Arabidopsis thaliana: one gene and its partners. The protein of the gene in region 3 interacts with the protein of the main gene of each other region in a pairwise test. Each region holds a gene or a part of one and is shown on either strand. Other genes may lie near its edges.

Region 1 (4,071 bases), on a different chromosome or scaffold from region 3:
GAGTTGAGAAATTTTGTTTGCTCGTTGGGATTCACCAATTCTCTCGCTGATACATCAGTGTTTGTTTACATCAACGACATCCAAATCGTCTACTGCTTGGTCTATGTTGATGACATTATTGTCACGGGAAGTAGTGATGCGTTGGTAATGGCTTTCATCACCGCTCTTTCTCGGCGATTCTCGTTGAAGGACCCGACGGATTTGGTATATTTTCTTGGTATAGAGGCAACAAGAACCTCACAAGGTCTTCATTTGATGCAGCATAAATATGTTTATGACTTGTTGTCTAGGATGAAGATGTTAGATGCCAAACCGGTGTCCACACCAATGGCGACACATCCTAAACTTTCACTCTACTCTGGCATTGCTCTAGACGAACCCGGAGAATACAGGACAGTGATCGGCAGCTTGCAATACTTGGCGTTTACACGACCGGATATTGCGTATGCTGTGAATCGATTATCACAATTTATGCATCGTCCCACAGACATTCATTGGCAGGCTGCAAAACGCGTCCTTCGATATCTTGCGGGAACTGCTACTCATGGTATATTACTTCGCTCAAACTCTCCTCTCTCGCTTCATGCATTCTCCGATGCTGATTGGGCTGGGGACAATGACGATTTTGTTTCCACCAATGCATATATTGTGTATCTTGGCTCTACACCCATAGCTTGGAGCTCGAAGAAACAAAAGGGAGTCGCACGTTCTTCCACCGAGGCCGAGTACAGGGCTGTTGCAAACACAACTTCAGAAATTAGATGGGTATGCTCTCTTCTTACTGAGTTAGGCATCACATTACCAAAGATGCCTGTGATATATTGTGACAATGTTGGTGCCACATATCTCTCTGCAAATCCGGTTTTCCATTCAAGAATGAAGCATCTAGCATTGGACTATCATTTTATTCGCGACAATGTGAGTGCCGGTGCACTACGAGTCTCTCACATATCAACACATGACCAACTTGCCGATGCTCTAACCAAGCCATTGCCTCGTCAACACTTTCTTCAGTTTTCAAGCAAGATTGGAGTGAGCAAACTCCCTCCATCTTGAGGGGGCATGTAGAGTATATAAGTAAAGGATAGTTTAGTAAATCATTAATCCCTAATTCATTCTAATGTAGTCCCTATATATATTGTAATTATATCATCTAATGAATTATTCAGCCTTCAATACTATAGTTTGATCATGTGCTTACTTTCCCTTCATTTGCGATACTTCAAGGTTCTTGCTGCCACTGTTTCTTTGAATGCGTCACATGTTTGAACATGTGTGTTCTTTTTGGATCGAAGCTTAGCTCTTTAGATGGAACTGAATAAGTAAAAGAGGTCACTGGATAAGCTCTGTTACTAGAATAATAGGAGGGCTTCTGCTTCACATTTGTAATCCTCTCTCTTTCTCTGAATTGATGTTGCAATTGCTTGTCATCAGTATCTGTATTTCCATAGATAACTGAACTCATTAAAGGGCAACCGAAGCTGCTTCGTGGTTTATGTTTCTTCTTTGTGGGCTATTTTGCTTTGCACTTTCACTTGTTTCTTAGTTTTGGTTTGATTTTTCATACTGGGCCCTGAGCAAAACAATTTTAGTTATATGACTTGTGAAACTTAAATGGGTTTTAATCGAATGGTAACTTCATCTAATTTGTTTGAATAATTCATCATGGACCTTAATGATAATATCTTGAGTCTACTAATCATTTCACAAATCCTTTCATTTTCCAACAGCAAGTAGCCTGATTTTTGAACCTCAGCGATAGACAGCTTAAAGTGCGGTCATTCTCGCAAAAAGCTATCAGTCTTTATTTGATTCACGAACATTATACACGAAAGTCAAAATTAAATAACCAAAAAAATTAAACAAAAAGCAAACAAGAAAACGACTTCTCTGGTATGATTGGAACAAATTTAATAGAGAGAGAGGTTAGATAAGAATGTGGTAGAAGATAAGACCCAACTACGCGTCATAACTGGGTCCCATCTTTGTCTCTTTCCCTTCTTCACTCGCCAACCCCATCGCGTGTCCCCACGCTCCTTCCCTTTACTTTTTCTCGTTATCCAAAACACGACGATTCTTCATTTTAGATTTTTTTCATTAATAAAAAAAAAAAAGTCTTTTATTGCAGAAATTTCGATCGTTTTTGTTGTGTGTACAGAGAGATTATCGTGTTTTGTTGGCAATCGCCATTAAACCTTCTTCCCTCTAACCCAATCAAATTTGCGGCTCTTTCTTTTATCTTCTCGCCTCGGTTTTAGCAAACCCTTTAGTTATCTTCTTCCTCAAGCAATTTTTCTTTTGGATTAGATTGGTGTTTTCTTTTGGTTTGTGTGGTGATGATGAGAAGGCAACGAGATGAACAACAATCTAGGGTTTTCTACGATCTATCATCTCTTGTTTTGAATCTTCTCCGTTCTCCTCCTATGCCGATTTCTTTACCTGATCATTTCCCCGATCCGCCCGCTAGAATTCGTCCTCCCTTTTCTTCGCATCGTTTTTCGTCTTCTTCGCCTTCTTTGGCTCATATTTCTCCGTCTGGATTCGCGTCGTTGCTGCTTGGTATATCTGTGGCTCTTATGCTATGTGGATCTGTGACTTTCTTCATCGGGTTTCTCTTGATGCCTTGGGTTCTTGCTCTGATTTTGGTTTTCTATGTCGCTGGCATCGTTTCTGCCATTTCTATGGTCGGGAGGTCGATTCTCTGTTACGTCTTGACGCCACCTTCTCCTTCCGGAAAGGAGATTTCTGGTAATTTTGTTGAATTTTAGGGTTAAGTTTGTCAAATTGGTTTCAATGATTCAAGCTTTCTACTTTCGTCTCGGATCTGTTTAGATTTTAACCAAAGTTTCCTTATTGATCATCTAGAAATGATTCCACTGGGTTTTGGTTCTGTCCTTATTTTGATAGAAATGGAGGTTCGAATTAGGGTTTTATTGAAAAGCACACCGATGTTTGTTCTGTCTTTGACTGAAACGATATTGTTCTTTTGTTTCCTCGTGGATCATATTATTCATGTTCACATTACTTTTGTTGTCTGAAATTAAACCTATGTTTGTATTAGTTTCATGTTCTTGCAATAATGTTTGTGTTTGACATGTCTATTCGCAGAATGGAAGCTTCTGTGAAATGATTAAACAACAGAGGTGAAGAATCTATACATCATCCGGAAGCAGAGCAGAGCGAAGCAGAACAAAAAAAAGAAGAAGAAGGATTGATTATATAAACACATATATCCGATAGAGTTTTTCTATGTTCTTTATCTGTATTTTGTTGGGGGGGTTTGGGAAAATCATGTGGATATCAGGGAGTTTTATATTTCTTTACATTTCGAAAAAAGAATTTTTCTATTTAACTACTGTTAGAAATAGAGAAGCCTTGTTATTTGTGCTTTCATGTATGTCGTTTTTATGTAACATGATCATTTCTTAAAGCATACAAAAAGATTTTAGGATTTCTGTTGCACTTCTTTCGATTTCCTTGCATTTTCGAAACACTCTGTGTTGATATCTCTTCCTTTAAATCTTCTTACAATATTTGCTCATTCTTGATCTCTTTTATGGTTTTAAATAATTGTCTCTTCAAGTTCACACGGAATCTAGTGTGAATCGAGGTTTAGTCGTGCAGAGTTGTGTGTGTTATTACATGTTTTATTATTGTTTAAGTATATTTATTTAGTGGAGGACTATACGCTATTTGCACATCTCAATGTCAAATTGCTCAAAAATGGTAGAGGTGCCGTGCCGTCAATAGATGTCACGTGTCCTGACTTGCCTTCTCAATACAAACAAAAATACTCTCTACCTAAAAAAACACAATAAACAACAAACGCATCTTTGGAGCGGCGGTGAGATTAGAGAAGAAGGGTTTGTGAAATGGAGTCCAGTGAGGATGTGGAGAATCTGAGTAGAGCTATTGAGAAGCTTCTTCATGAGAAGAGGAAGAGAGAAGCTTCTGGTGACGCCTTCATTGAAGACGCTGATGATCAGCTTTTCCTCTCTAGCCTTATCTCTCAGGTACTTTACCATCGCTCTGTTTTCTCCTTTGTTGATTTATCTGATGTTGCAGCCAATC
Region 2 (4,172 bases), on a different chromosome or scaffold from region 3:
AAATGCTCCAAAATCTTGAGATTGTTATTAGCTTTAATAGCGTAACCAATAACAGATCTCACTCCTTCCAAAGCCTCTTTATAAGCCTCAAGGTTTCTCGTGATCTGAGGTTTGCTATATAAGTAAAAGGGTCGTTTCTCGACTGTTTCCATGATATCTTGAACCTTGGTTCCTTCGCAATAGAGAAACCCATCTGATGATTTCTTGAAACAGTGGTCGAAAGAGGAAGCAGATTCTTTCGTGAGGGTTTTGGTGGAGTTTTGGGAAACGGCGGCTTTGACGGAGAGGCGTTTAAGTGGCTTCAATGTTGACTTGAGAGACAAAAATGGGATTCTTGAGAGTGAAGTCTGATTCAATTGGTACTGATTTAGGGTTCCGCGGATTGATGAAGGTTGGGAGAGAAATTGAGTAACTGCCGCCATGGCTGGAGGATTTTTGTTAGGTGTGCGACTGTTACAGTAACACTGAAGGGTTTAGAAAAAAAAAGTCAACAAGTTTAAGAGTAGTTCCTGTCGGGTCCGGTTTTAGATATCCGACAATATCGAACCGGTGGTTATAGTCGAACCGATGGTTAAAAGAAGAAAGAACAAAGTCGATTTTAACTTCTTTTGGATATGGTTTTTGTCCTTGGGGGATAGTTTCTGCTAGTGTTTGTTTTGTTCGGTTGTGTTAGTTGTGTGTTGTAATAATCTTGATGCTTAAGGGGTCACCTAAAGCAGTCATGGAAATCTAGCCCTATCTATAAAAATTTGCCATTTCTCATCACCTACCAATACTTCTATTTGTTCGTATTATGCGGATATTCAGAGGATAATGTAAAACATTTTGTTGAATGCTAACGATGAAGTGCTCTATCTAGCCGTGCACGTTGTGGAGAAGTTATGTTTTAGAATCCACATTTGTTGAAGTTATGCTTATCATACTCTCTTAATTATCTATATCTATTACAAAGAGCAAGGAATGTTCTTAGTTAGGATTTGTTTTGTTTGGCAACCATTGCTTCTGGTTATTTGTGCTCTGCCTCCTTTGTAAGTTAGGATTTGTTTTATTCTTACAACTTTGCTTCTCTCGTCATACTATATAATCTCTGACTATGTATGTAATTGCATTCATGTCGATGGTTGTGGGATGTATATTTAGGTGTTTGACTGTAAGACGTTAAAAACAAACTTTACCATAAGTTATTGGGATGTCTAGACACTTTTATGGTTTGGTGAAGTAGGCTCAATGTTTTGCCCTTTATGTTTCCATTGTTGATGTTTATGTACCTTGCTGGTTGGAACCACTTGTGGATGTTTCCGACAATGCTTCTCTGTAATGCAGTTATCTTTTAATGAAATGTGATCGATCTTGAGTGTTATTTATTTTTATTTTTTTAAAGACTTTATGGTGTGGACACTTGACCGGGTGATAATTGGTAACTATACTACATAGTTAGAGAGCTCTTGAATTATTAATCACGCTAAATCTTGGGAATTGAGAGCTCGGAAGCAAAGGTTATTAACAAAATTCAAAGCAGAGCAGCATTGCCGATGAAATAATTATTGACTTGGGATTTACTCTCTGAAGTCTGAACCAAATCGAGATTATTCTAATTATATTTTTAATTTCGGATCCCTAATCTATTAATACTCCAATATCTGCACTCATTTAATTATTTCCTCTTTTTTTAACCTGCACTGACTTAAATTCAAACTTATTTCAATTGCGTGCACACTTTAGTGAACTACTACCACTATCACTATATGTGTCGGTGGATTATTATTTCCGTCATTTTGATATTTAATTACATCTTTAATTGTTACTCTTTTTTGCCCATTCTTCTTCTTCATTTGATTACATTATACTCTATTGTGAATTACTAAATTCTGAAAACAAGAAAAATTTGAGTACACAGGACACATCTTAGTATTACTCGTTACTAAAATACTACACGTGTAAATAATTTTTTCAGAAATAAATGGGGCCACTTTGTAAGTAATAAATCAGCTTACATTAATTATTTTACCACCCAATAAAAAGATTCCACAGACTTGGCATGGAAGTCATGAACATTCACAAAAATCTAAGAAAAACTGAAAACCGAAAAAAAAACAAATTATTAAAAAGCAATAAATAAATAAACTCAGAAAAAAAAGCTATTAAGATTCCACAAAAACTCTGTATTGTCTCTTTCTCTCTCACTATCTCTCTCTCTTTTGTGAGCTCAGATCTGACCAGAGAGAAAGAAACAACCGGAGAAGAAGAAGATGACTGACCGAGTCTTCCCAGCTTCCAAACCACCAACCGCCACTAATGGAGCTCCACCAGTTGGTTCCATACCACCTCCTCCAGCTCCGGCGACTGTAACCAGCAACGGAACAACAAACGGAATGGCTAATCAGAAACCTCAAGTCTACATTCCAGCTAACCGTCCGGTTTACCGTCCACAGCCTTACAGTCGCCGTCATCACCACCAATCTCGACCAAGCTGCCGACGAATTTGCTGTTGTTGCTGTTTCTGGTCGATTCTGATAATTCTGATCTTAGCTCTCATGACTGCAATCGCCGCCACCGCGATGTACGTGATCTACCACCCTCGTCCGCCGTCGTTCTCCGTCCCGTCAATAAGAATCAGCCGCGTGAACCTAACAACCTCCTCTGATTCCTCCGTCTCTCATCTCTCTTCCTTCTTCAACTTCACTCTAATCTCAGAGAATCCAAACCAACACCTCTCTTTCTCTTACGATCCTTTCACCGTCACCGTTAATTCAGCTAAATCCGGTACGATGCTCGGTAACGGAACTGTTCCTGCTTTCTTCAGCGATAACGGTAACAAAACTTCGTTTCACGGCGTGATCGCTACGTCTACAGCGGCGCGTGAGTTAGATCCGGATGAAGCTAAGCATCTGAGATCAGATCTGACGCGCGCGCGTGTAGGATATGAGATCGAGATGAGAACTAAAGTGAAGATGATAATGGGGAAGCTGAAGAGTGAAGGAGTAGAGATCAAAGTGACATGTGAAGGATTTGAAGGAACTATACCAAAAGGTAAAACTCCAATTGTAGCTACTTCTAAAAAAACTAAGTGTAAGTCTGATCTTAGTGTCAAGGTCTGGAAATGGAGTTTCTAGAGGGAATTTTGATAATTTCACAATTGAAATTTTCTATATAATCTTCTTCTTTTTTTCTTCTGGATTTTGTGAAACTTTTGGAATGATCCAAAAGGAGATTTCTTCAGTTGTTAGTTAAAAAATTTCAGAGAAGAGTCAGAGAGATAAGGTATTGTCAAGTAGAAGAAGGCCAGAGAATTCACGGCTTCTAAAAAAATTTCTTGGATTTTTGTTTTGTTTGGAACTTTCTTACTTGAATTTATATTTAATGGATACAGAAATATAAATGTAATACTTGTAACGAATGGAGTACTAAAAAGCTGGAGATTGCAGTGACTGCGTGATAGTGAGCATTAAAGTGAGATCGTAGTAGTAATAAACAGAACCTTAAAAATGGAAAAGATGCGTGGGGTTTGTGAGGAGAACAATGAAGAACACGAGAGATGTGTTAAATGTTAGATGTTGAACCATCTATCGCATTATACAACACCATTTAAGAGAAACGTGAATCGTCTTTAGTACTCTATAAAGCAAGCATATATTCTAGCAGTTGCATGTTATAAAATTAATACAGATCGATCACTCAATTCATGAATATGGTTTGATATAAACATTAAATTAAATGTCATGCTGTCATAAAAGATGAATTATATGGTTCATTTATCTAAGAAACTTTTTATTAACTAAGTAAGTAAAAGTTTGAAGAGGTCATTTGCAAGTGACTCCGACCAGGGATAGACTCCTGAAATCTTATCCAACTATGGACGACGACTTCATGTCGGTGTGTCCAAAAATGAGGAAAAGGAATCTGCCCAAGGGACAAATGGCATTACCCGAAACGGCAAAGAAGAACCGCAGGAAAAAAAGTTGACAATAACGTATGAGGTGTGACTGAAAAAGAAAAACTTGTAGTTTGGTTTATGACGTAAATGAATAATTTGGAAATGACAATAAGTCATCATATCTAATTTAGTGCATGACCTCCAACGTCGGCATATATTTGAGTCGGTGACCGGATATCCAGTACAAAGTAAAGTACAAACCAAAAAGAAAGACAAGACAATAAAATGGGTAAAGAAG
Region 3 (5,854 bases):
AATTATCCATTTCTCTTCTTTTATGTACTTTGGTTTTTGTTATTCGAAAGATTTGTTTTTTTTTTCTTTCTCTTTACTAATATGCATATCATTTAAACATAATTTAATCATACCACTTGAATCTAGCAGCATATTGAGGAAAGAGGATTCTGATTCGAAACATATCATTAGGTCTGGTATTTCATCACTAATGGATAAGGGTATCTGATCTTAGTTGTTCAAATAAAAAGGGTTAATAAAAAGAAAATAATATTTGTATCCAATGATAAAAGTTAGATGTAAAGTTAAAAATAGCAATGCAAACATAATATAATAGTGGATCTATTTCTAAAAACGGTTAAATAATTTTCGTTATGGGACTAATTATTTTTTGTTACGGGACTAATTATTTTTCGTAATTATTTTTTACGATAGAGGACAAAACTTATTCTTTGTTACGGGACTAATTCTTTTTCCGTAACATATATATTTTTTTATATGGGATTGTCCAAATAATTAAGTGGAGATTCGAGTTTAAATTTTTGATTAAGATTTTCATAACAATTTGGAATTATGAAATATTGATTTTGTCTTATTTCCATTTTCTTAATTTTTTCTTCATGATTGTTGTTTACCTATTTTCTCAACTTTTTTTTAATTTACGTGACTCAAGAAAAAAAAAATAACTACGTTGTTATTTCTCTAGAATCTAAAAAAAATAACAAATATATAAAAATTCAAGAAATGAACATGAGTGTAGGAGACACATTTCGATTACAAATGAAACTGAACTTGACCAAAGAGAAAAAAGTAAGGCATGAAGAGTAAGACATAACTAATATGATTTTGAGTTAACCTCTAAGGTATTTCTAAACCCAAAAGGTAATTATAGACAAGTTACATGGCCTTGTTCATGTTCAAGGGCTAGGCAAACTAGATTTATAAGACCAGTCATCAGCAAGTCTCTTCTATATATATCAGATTTACGTTGCAAACTAAAGGTGGCATTAACCATCGAGTTTTTTTGACCTTTTTATTGTTCGACCCAAATAAATATACAATCGGTGTAAAGGACCTTAAAAGTTAAATAAAATGTTTAGTGTACACAATTCACCTGAACTAAGTTACAAATTGCTAAGTGATTAAGATTTCCCTAACCTAAAATACACGTGGTGTTAAGATTTATATAAGTTTTGCGTAGGTTTCAAATTCTATGTTTGTAACCTAAACTTTTTTTATTATCTATGAAATATTTACAATTTAGCAAAAACAATCGAATAAGATACACGTTGCATTAAGTGATTCGCTTAGTTGTGAATGATAAATGTTTTTTTCTAACATTGGGCTTTGGAAAATTTTATTAATAAATATTAGGGGAGAGTTAACTTCACTCATTGCATTTTTTTTTTCTTTTGGGAAAAGTCTTCACTCACTGCATAAGATATATGTATTGGAAGAAAGAGAGCGAGAGTTGAATTGTACAAAATGTTTTTCGTTTTTTGGCCGTAATGTGTAAAATAAATTGTCATCAGTTAAATAAAGAAAACAAGAACAATAAATGATCCAAATTTTATCATTGTTTCTACAAATAAATGACAAACATAAAGCCATTTCGTGCACACACTCTTAAAATTATTATATTCCATTAAGCAAAATTTTCCATACACATATATATGCTTTTTTTTTTTGTTTTGTTACTCGTATCTTTCCATTATAATATTCGAGAAGATACGTAGACGTATTATTGAGCGAACAAAATAATGCTATTTTTCCTTTTATAAATCTAACTTTTGATGACTATAAGAAGGACCATTTGCCATTTGGTTTTGTATGCTCAAACAAGTAACTCTTAGTCGTTCACGAAACATCTCATATATATCTAGAGAGAGAAACAAAACAATATATAGAGAATCTATATAGAATCATATAAGTGGTACATACCTCTCAAATCGAGGAAGAAAATGAAAGGAGGAAAGATGGATAAATTGAAGCCAATAATAGCAATCATATCACTCCAATTTGGATATGCAGGCATGTACATCATTACTATGGTCTCCTTCAAGCATGGCATGAACCATTGGATCCTTGCTACTTACCGACATGTCGTCGCCACAATTGTCATAGCTCCTTTTGCTCTCATTCTCGAGAGGTATGTATGTTAAATGATGTGTATGCATGCTTGTGTTGGTTCTTATATCTAGAGCCATGGTAGCTATTTATAAATGTAAGTGTCTCTGTATTAATTCATCGCATACTTTTTCAGGAAAATAAGGCCTAAGATGACATGGCCATTGTTCCTTAGGATTCTTGCCCTTGGATTCCTAGAGTAAGCTCCTCATACATATATCTTATCCCCTTTTCATGTCCATATATATATGCAAACACACATACACACACACATAAATATACGTGTATATATATATAGATATAAATTTATACGATGTTGGGGGTTTTCTATTTTATAAAGAATAATTCTTATTTTGCATTCCAAATATTTGAGGGTTTTGAGGACCTAAGATGAATGAAACAAAATGAGACTTTGATACATTTTCCCTGATAAAATGTGTCGTAAATTTATGAAATGATTAGAGATAATTAACGATTTCTTTTTAATTTATGAAATAACCAAAAATAATCACACAAAAGTACAAATTTCACCAATATAAAAATTGAAAGTTTTTAGAAATCGATTAATAATAAACTATTTTTTTTTTAATAAAAAATTTAAAATTTATTCGAAAAAACTGTATTACATCAGATGCAGCGTTTGCGTTAAGAATTTCTTAGATACAAACAAACAAGGATCAAAATAAAGATTTAATGTGTAGAGCTTCATTAGCGGGAACCAAACCAGAGTAATAAACTATTTCGATATAAGAATTAATTCAATAATTTTAACAAATCTTTTCATATCGATGAATCCTTAAATCATATAAAGGTAAAATATACCATATAAAAGAATATTATATACGAAGAATCTATACGAAAAGATTCTAGTCGTTTGGCAAAAATAAAAAAAGATTCTAGTCGTGAATATTCTTGATTAGATCATCACCCATTGCCGTCTTCTCATAGCTTTGTTTTCCTTTATCTTTTAATTTAACTTGAAGAGAATGATAACGAAAAAAAAAGAAAGAATATGATTGGTTAAGCAGAAGATGATGCAACATTAAAGCATATGATTAATAAATTTGTAAATGTTGGTTGTTTGTCTATTCAGACCACTTTTGGACCAGAACTTGTACTACATAGGAATGAAAGCCACGTCAGCAACGTATAGTTCTGCCTTTGTTAATGCACTTCCCGCCATTACCTTCATAATGGCTGTCATTTTCAGGTAAGTTTGCTTCTAATTACCAAAGACCAATCATATTAATCATTCTCTATATTTTTTACGTCATAATTTTATAGTTATTAATTCAAAAATTGCTTAAATTTTATTAGGATAGAAACTGTAAATTTGAAGAAGACACGAAGTCTTGCAAAAGTGATTGGAACAGCAATAACTGTGGGAGGAGCAATGGTTATGACGTTGTACAAAGGTCCAGCCATTGAGCTCTTTAAGACTGCTCATAGCTCTTTACACGGCGGCTCCTCGGGCACCTCCTCCGAGACCACTGATCAGAATTGGGTTACCGGAACTCTAGCGGTTATGGGTAGTATCACCACTTGGGCAGGTTTCTTCATTCTACAAGTAAGCAAACATTAGTTACTTATATTCCAAATTGGTGTGTTTACATTAATTAGTAAATGTGTTATACCATACTATTATAGTTATTCTGATCACTATAACATAACAAAGAGTGGTACCAAATCTCCATTTTGACTAGGCCTAGGCAAAATAGCCAAACCCGAAGAACCAAACCGAACCCGACCCGAAAAACCCGATCTGAATTCGAACCCAAAACTTTAAAATACCCGAACGGATCCTAAACTTCAAAACCCGAACCCGATCCGAACCTAAATACTCGATCAAGTACCCGAACATATCCGAAATATATATACATAGAAAATAATTCATTAGTAATAATCACATTTACAACAACTTAAATGTCTAAAATATTTGGATTCTAAAATATATATACATAAAACATTTACAATAGAAAATTTTGAGTTTTGGATACTCCGGGTTTACCCGAATCCGAACCCGAAAAACCCGATCCGAATCCGAACCGAACCCGAAGTCTTAAAATACCCGAACGGATCTTAGATTTCTAAATCCGAAAAACCCGATCCGAACCCGAACCGAATACCCGAACGCCCATGCCTAATTTTGACTACAAAGTGGCAATAGAAAAAAAACATATATAATTTACAAATTAGTCTATGCTTTAAGATAAGATTTTACATGGTACTAAGATTGAAATATTTTCAGTCGTTCACGTTGAAAAAATATCCGGCTGAGCTTTCGCTAGTGATGTGGATTTGTGCCATGGGAACGGTCTTAAACACCATCGCTTCGCTCATAATGGTGCGCGACGTAAGCGCATGGAAAGTCGGTATGGACTCGGGCACACTTGCGGCTGTTTACTCCGTAAGTACTTTTGACCGTTTACTACTAAACCAATCTTTTTATAATCATGGTCATAACTCACAAGTGTTAAGTACTTAATATCAGGGAGTGGTTTGTTCGGGTATGGCGTATTACATACAAAGCATTGTGATTAGGGAACGAGGTCCGGTTTTTACGACATCGTTTAGTCCTATGTGCATGATCATCACTGCTTTCCTCGGCGTGTTAGTTTTGGCTGAAAAGATTCACCTTGGAAGGTAAATATACATTATAGAATTAATGATATTCTAATCATATACAACTTACACGGCTATGATCAATAGTACAAACAACTATATTGCATTCATTAGGTAACTAATTAGTTGTTTAATTTTGTATATTGCAGTATAATCGGGGCGATTTTTATCGTCTTCGGGCTATATAGCGTTGTGTGGGGGAAAGCTAAGGACGAAGTGATATCGGTGGAAGAGAAAATAGGAATGCAGGAGCTGCCGATCACCAACACATCGACAAAAGTGGAGGGTGGTGGTATTACCAGTGAAGTAAACGAAGGTGTGACTAACAATACCCAAGTGTAACCCCAATAAAGCAATTAAGAGAAATTTTTGAAGACCAAATTTCCAAGAAAGGAAATTTGTTTGTCTTTCTTGTTTGTTTTATGCTGTTTACATTTTCAAGTTATCTGTGTTGATTCAACTATATAACGAATGTTGTATATTTTCTGTAATTGTCGAATATCACGGAAGTTGAAGAAATTTCAATTTGGTAATTTTTGTTTTTGTTTGAATTTACAATATATGCACCAAAAAAGACGGTTTTACAATAAATATTGCAACATTAAGCCGATAAATTTTGAAAACATAATAGACCAAAACGTATAACATATAACTAGTTTAATTTGAAATAAATGTCGATCGTTAGACGCCAAATATAAGATTATTGTTGATAAGTATCTTTCAAAACCTATGAACATGAAAAAGTTAGTTGAAATTGTGATTACGAAATATTTAGGAAGATTTACAAGTTAAAGTTCAAGAAATGTTAGGACTAGAACATATTATTCATGAAGGTCAAATTTAGGTTGAGAGAGATTAAGAATTTAGTAGCCGAAATAGTCTATCAAGAAGCATTTGTTATTCGATCTATGTTAACGATTACGAGTTTCCTCGTTGTAACTCAATTTTGTGTGTAGTTAATGTATGATATATTTGTCGTGAATTATTCGATCAAAGACGGAATTGGAAAATGAGTTAGGGCCAAATGAAGCAAACATATTGGGGAAAAAACTGACAAAATCATATCCCTTCTAAATTTCAGATGAAAACTAATTCAGTGTTATAATGCAAGCCTTAAAATTCATAT
Region 4 (4,362 bases), on a different chromosome or scaffold from region 3:
GCTCGGAGACGATGAAAAAATCCTCGAAGATAAACTTTTTCTTTAGTGGCGCAATAAGATTTGTTCACTTTATGCAATTCCACCATCCAACACGAAAGATCCACGCATACCCTTTTGTTTCTACAGCGATTACGAAGATCTCGTAAAGACTTGGTCTTTTTAAACACCCAGAAAAATTAAAGAGAAATTGAGACGAAGAAACAACTCACTGAAGATGATCGAGTGGGAAAGTCTTCTTACAAGGCTCCAAGACATCCCAAAGATACTTCACTCCCATAGCTTCACCTTCGAGATCGAGCGAGAGAGAGAGACAGAGACAGAAAGAGGGAAGAAAATGATTTGACAAGATATTTGAATTTTGAAAATTTGGTTCAATAATAATTCGAAACCGGTCGGTTTGAAGGTTCCAAACCGAAACCAAAATTATTGCAAATTCTTCACTTCGGTTCGGCAACAGACCTACCATCAAATGTAAGTTGGTGCTTCGATTTTAGGAATTGAACCATCTTCAATTACCAGGCACATAGCAGGATGTCAAATATGAACTAAGCATAAACAACAAGTGAACAAACCCTGAATTATAGAACTGTTTATCGATTAATACTGTAGAAATAATGTATTTTGAAGCTTCCATAACCAGAATTAGATGTCATTATACAAGATCCAAAAAGTACACACAAGGTCACCATTTTTATTGAGCTATATACGACTCATACTTAAACCCTGAAAAATCTCACTAATTTCTCAAGAGAAACTGTGCCTCTCATTACATTGACTTTACTCCTTTGCAGCATCATCATCATCAGTTGCAACATCTTTCTTCTCCGTGGTTTCCGCGATTTTCTCGCCTGTGCTTCTAGAAGTTTCATCATGGGTAATTGCTGAAGCTTCTTCTCCAGTGTTTGTAGAAAGACCTTCCGCAGAGGCAGTCTTTGCTTCGGAAGGTTCTGAACTTTCTTTGCCTTCTCCATCCTTCTTTTGAATGGTTCCGACTTTGACATACTTGCTCATGAACTTGTACTCCCAGTCTTGTAACGCCTCTAGCTCAAATGCACCGAGACCTGAGATGTCTCCAGTCAAGTCTTGGTCCTCAAATGACATCTTTGCCAGAGCTCGGCTTGCATCTTTCCCTGCAAACAGAGCATATGGCCCACCTGGTCCATAAAACATCCTGCATAAAAAGAACAGATGGTCATGCAAATTAGCGACCAGTAAGAGTTAAGTAGAGTTTGAAGAATGAAAAACTACAGCTTGGCACATATGAATATGATTCATCTAGATATGTAGTACAGCTGATGAACTATGTACAAGAAAAAAACTAAAAGTTATGCATACATATACATCGACATGTATATGCGTTGATGAGTGTGTCTGTGTCTGTCGCCACTATGAACAAGCAAAACGGTATGATCACTGAAGTGATTATTTCATCTAGCACAAAACCTAATTACCACAACGAAGTTTTCGGTAACTGGAATGTAAAAGAACTGTCTAGTTGACAAGTCAGGGATCTAGACAACTGCAGCATGGTTACATACCAACAATGTTCGCCAAAACTTAATTTACAAACGTCATGGAACACAAATAGCAAGCAAATGTGGATAATTAATCAGTGAACGATCTCTTTCGCCACAATAGCAATATTAGAAGCCAAACCTTTGACGAGTTTGTACGTTATCAATCTCTACTAATCCAAGATGTAATCTAAATACAGGTTTTTCTAGTATAAGAAAAAGTAGAGATCTTTCCGATAACTTGAATACAATACAATTGTATCAGTGCTTCTAATGGTATTGTTCCAAGAAAAGAAGTGAAAAAACAAACACTAAGATGCAAAAAGCAATAAAAAGAGCATCATAAGATTATGAACAAAAAGGAGAGAATATTCATCAAAAAGATTTACTAAAAGTGTTCAGTTTTACAATAAAGAATCACTTAAACTAGAGTTCGAGCATCAGTAGATATACTAGAATCATAAGATAGATAGTAATTGGAAACTTCGGATTATAAATCAAACAGTCAACCATGATTAACTAACCTAAACCCCAAATCTCGAAACTATTGGGTTGAATCGTTTATTACTGGTAATTTAACTAGTGATCATTTGGATTCAATCATAATTTAATGAACAAGTAAAGATTTCACAAGAAATACCTGCTCTGAGAAACATCATAGATCTGGCCCTTGATCGCCATAAGAAGGGGCTTTTTAGAATCGGAGCCATCATAAAGCTTAAGCTCCTCCTCAGTGATTTCTCCGAGCTGAACCGGCGGTGGAAGAGGCTCCGATTGAGGCTGAACCTCCAAAGAACGAGGTCGGTGAACTTCAGGAGAAACGAAGAAACCGGAGACGACTTGGTAAACGGCGAAAGCGAGAGCAAGTACGGTGAAAAACGCAGCTGGAGAAAGTCCAGTGTAAGCTGTGATTGTTTCCTTCAACGTCTCCCATATTTGCTGAACCATGATTTGAGAAGCTATCGAGAAGCGAAAGAGAATGAGAGAGAAGAGTAACGTTTTGTGTTTTAATTTTCAGATTTATTTGCGATCGAATTAAAACATATATATAATATCTTCAATTTTTGGTATAAAATAAAATAAAATGGTCAAATTACGCAACAAGAATTTTAAACGATTTTGTTTAACAGTCGTCGTCCATAATGACCGTTGATGTCTGAAAAATATTTTCTTTTTGTTCGTGTGAAACATACATAGAAATTTTCTAAACGTTTTTAAGAATATATATCGTTACCTAACTAGTGGTGGCTGAGCTCGATAAAACGGTGTCGTTAATGCCGCCGGAGAAGACTGGTAGGTAAGAACTAAGAAGAATAAGATATAGACCAAAAAAAAAAGGTAGATGATTTGCAAAACAAATGTGACTAATAATGCTAATATCAAGACAAATAATTGTAACAATATTGTTTTATTTTCCTATTTGGTGTGCAAGGTTGGTGGTGATCAAAAGTTGATCACTACAGACATTCATTGGCATAGCCTACAGATATATACACATAATACGATTCAAATCAAAACAAACAACACAAAGAAATAAACAATTCAACAGTCAAAGATGAGAACAATAACAAGTTAAGTCCTTCACAGAGAATGATCACAGCAGAAACATCAAAGATGAAGAGAACTCACTTCATCAACCTTCCAGTCTCCTTCCTCATACTTGTACCATCTCACAATCCCTTCATCGTTTTCAGTCCTCTGACACATCACACACGTCTTGTGATCCATGCAAGTCAAGAATTTCTTTAGCCTTGCTGTTTTCTCCATTATCGTCTTATCGAGCTCTCTAACAATCACCTTCTGCTGAGGCTGCCAACCGCTGTACTCCACTAGGTGAGAGTGTGATATGTTGAGCACTTCAAGGCTTGGTAATCCGTCAAGGATTTTCATCAGTGCTTCCCGCTTTATCGCCGAGCATCTGATGCTGAGTGTTTTGATGTTTGGGAGGCAAGTGATGAGCGTGTTTGCAAAGAAGACCTCGAATGGACCCATGATCTTCAGCTCTTTAAAATTCTTGCAGTTCTTGGCAATTTCTGTTAAGAGATAAGGCGGGTTTGCGATGCTTGGCATTGTTAGTGACTCTAGATCTTTCCAGATTCTTATCGCTTTGCATATACCAGTCTTCTTTATTCTGTTCCAAGCCGGTAGGACGACCCGTCTCAACCCTGGACACCTGCAAAATATTCAGTACAACAAATTTTTCAACTTTTAGCATTTGCGAGATTCAGCTTAATTGTAATTCAGCAATTTTGACTGAAAGTGGGTACATGAACTTAACCAAACCAAAAACTGAACCAACTTTTGACTAAAAAACCATAGTTTACGGCCATGATGAAACAATTTGGAAGACAAATAAGTGGAAGAACGAAAAGGACATACCTTTCTGCGGTGTAAGTAAGCTGATCATCACTCAAGAACAAGTTGAAATGAAAAATCAAGGTCCTCGTGCTTCCTCCGCTAAGGTTCATGGAGAGTTTCAGGATGCGGGTTAGGGCCTCATCAGATCGGCGTTCCACATAGACATAAGGCTCTAATGGGATCTTGATGAAACTAGATCTCATGTTTGACAAATCCACCGTCTTCCAAAGAATCGGATCGCAACAAGCAGCTCTCCATCCTCTACAAACATGAGCTAATCCCGAAGTCAACTCAAAGACGCTAAACTTCTGGAAAATTCTTACTAAGATGTCAGTGTCCAACTCTTCCCATCTCCTCAATCGACGACTCTCATACTCTTCTTCCATTCTTGTTGTACCCTAAACAAGCATAAGAACGTTAATCAACTGTTGTTATCCACAAGAGCTTATAGAAATAGGAAAGAGCACAACTTTAAGAAGTAGGAAAAGAA

Evidence for each region.
Region 1: the proteins of UMAMIT17 (region 3) and AT1G27290 interact in a protein complementation assay, tested with the Arabidopsis thaliana proteins (one large-scale study listed by BioGRID).
Region 2: the proteins of UMAMIT17 (region 3) and EMB3135 interact in a protein complementation assay, tested with the Arabidopsis thaliana proteins (one large-scale study listed by BioGRID).
Region 4: the proteins of UMAMIT17 (region 3) and MAPR3 interact in a protein complementation assay, tested with the Arabidopsis thaliana proteins (one large-scale study listed by BioGRID).

What each region holds. Positions count from the first base shown.
Region 1 is NC_003070.9:9,479,452-9,483,522, forward strand, and holds AT1G27290 (uncharacterized protein), read left to right. Parts: upstream 1-1,953; 5' UTR 1,954-2,336; coding exon 2,337-2,748; intron 2,749-3,108; coding exon 3,109-3,125; 3' UTR 3,126-3,541; downstream 3,542-4,071. Other genes in the region: AT1G27300 (uncharacterized protein), read left to right, coding at 3,873-4,013.
Region 2 is NC_003076.8:3,829,521-3,833,692, forward strand, and holds EMB3135 (harpin-induced protein), read left to right. Parts: upstream 1-1,979; 5' UTR 1,980-2,249; coding exon 2,250-3,113; 3' UTR 3,114-3,631; downstream 3,632-4,172. Other genes in the region: AT5G11880 (Pyridoxal-dependent decarboxylase family protein), read right to left, coding at 1-422.
Region 3 is NC_003075.7:5,243,084-5,248,937, forward strand, and holds UMAMIT17 (nodulin MtN21 /EamA-like transporter family protein), read left to right. Parts: upstream 1-1,781; 5' UTR 1,782-1,940; coding exon 1,941-2,128; intron 2,129-2,242; coding exon 2,243-2,305; intron 2,306-3,199; coding exon 3,200-3,316; intron 3,317-3,423; coding exon 3,424-3,673; intron 3,674-4,354; coding exon 4,355-4,513; intron 4,514-4,597; coding exon 4,598-4,749; intron 4,750-4,877; coding exon 4,878-5,070; 3' UTR 5,071-5,311; downstream 5,312-5,854.
Region 4 is NC_003074.8:18,127,769-18,132,130, reverse strand, and holds MAPR3 (membrane-associated progesterone binding protein 3), read right to left. Parts: upstream 2,680-4,362; 5' UTR 2,463-2,679; coding exon 2,155-2,462; intron 1,172-2,154; coding exon 778-1,171; 3' UTR 539-777; downstream 1-538. Other genes in the region: AT3G48900 (single-stranded DNA endonuclease family protein), read right to left, coding at 1-120, 210-277; AT3G48880 (RNI-like superfamily protein), read right to left, coding at 3,123-3,687, 3,894-4,258.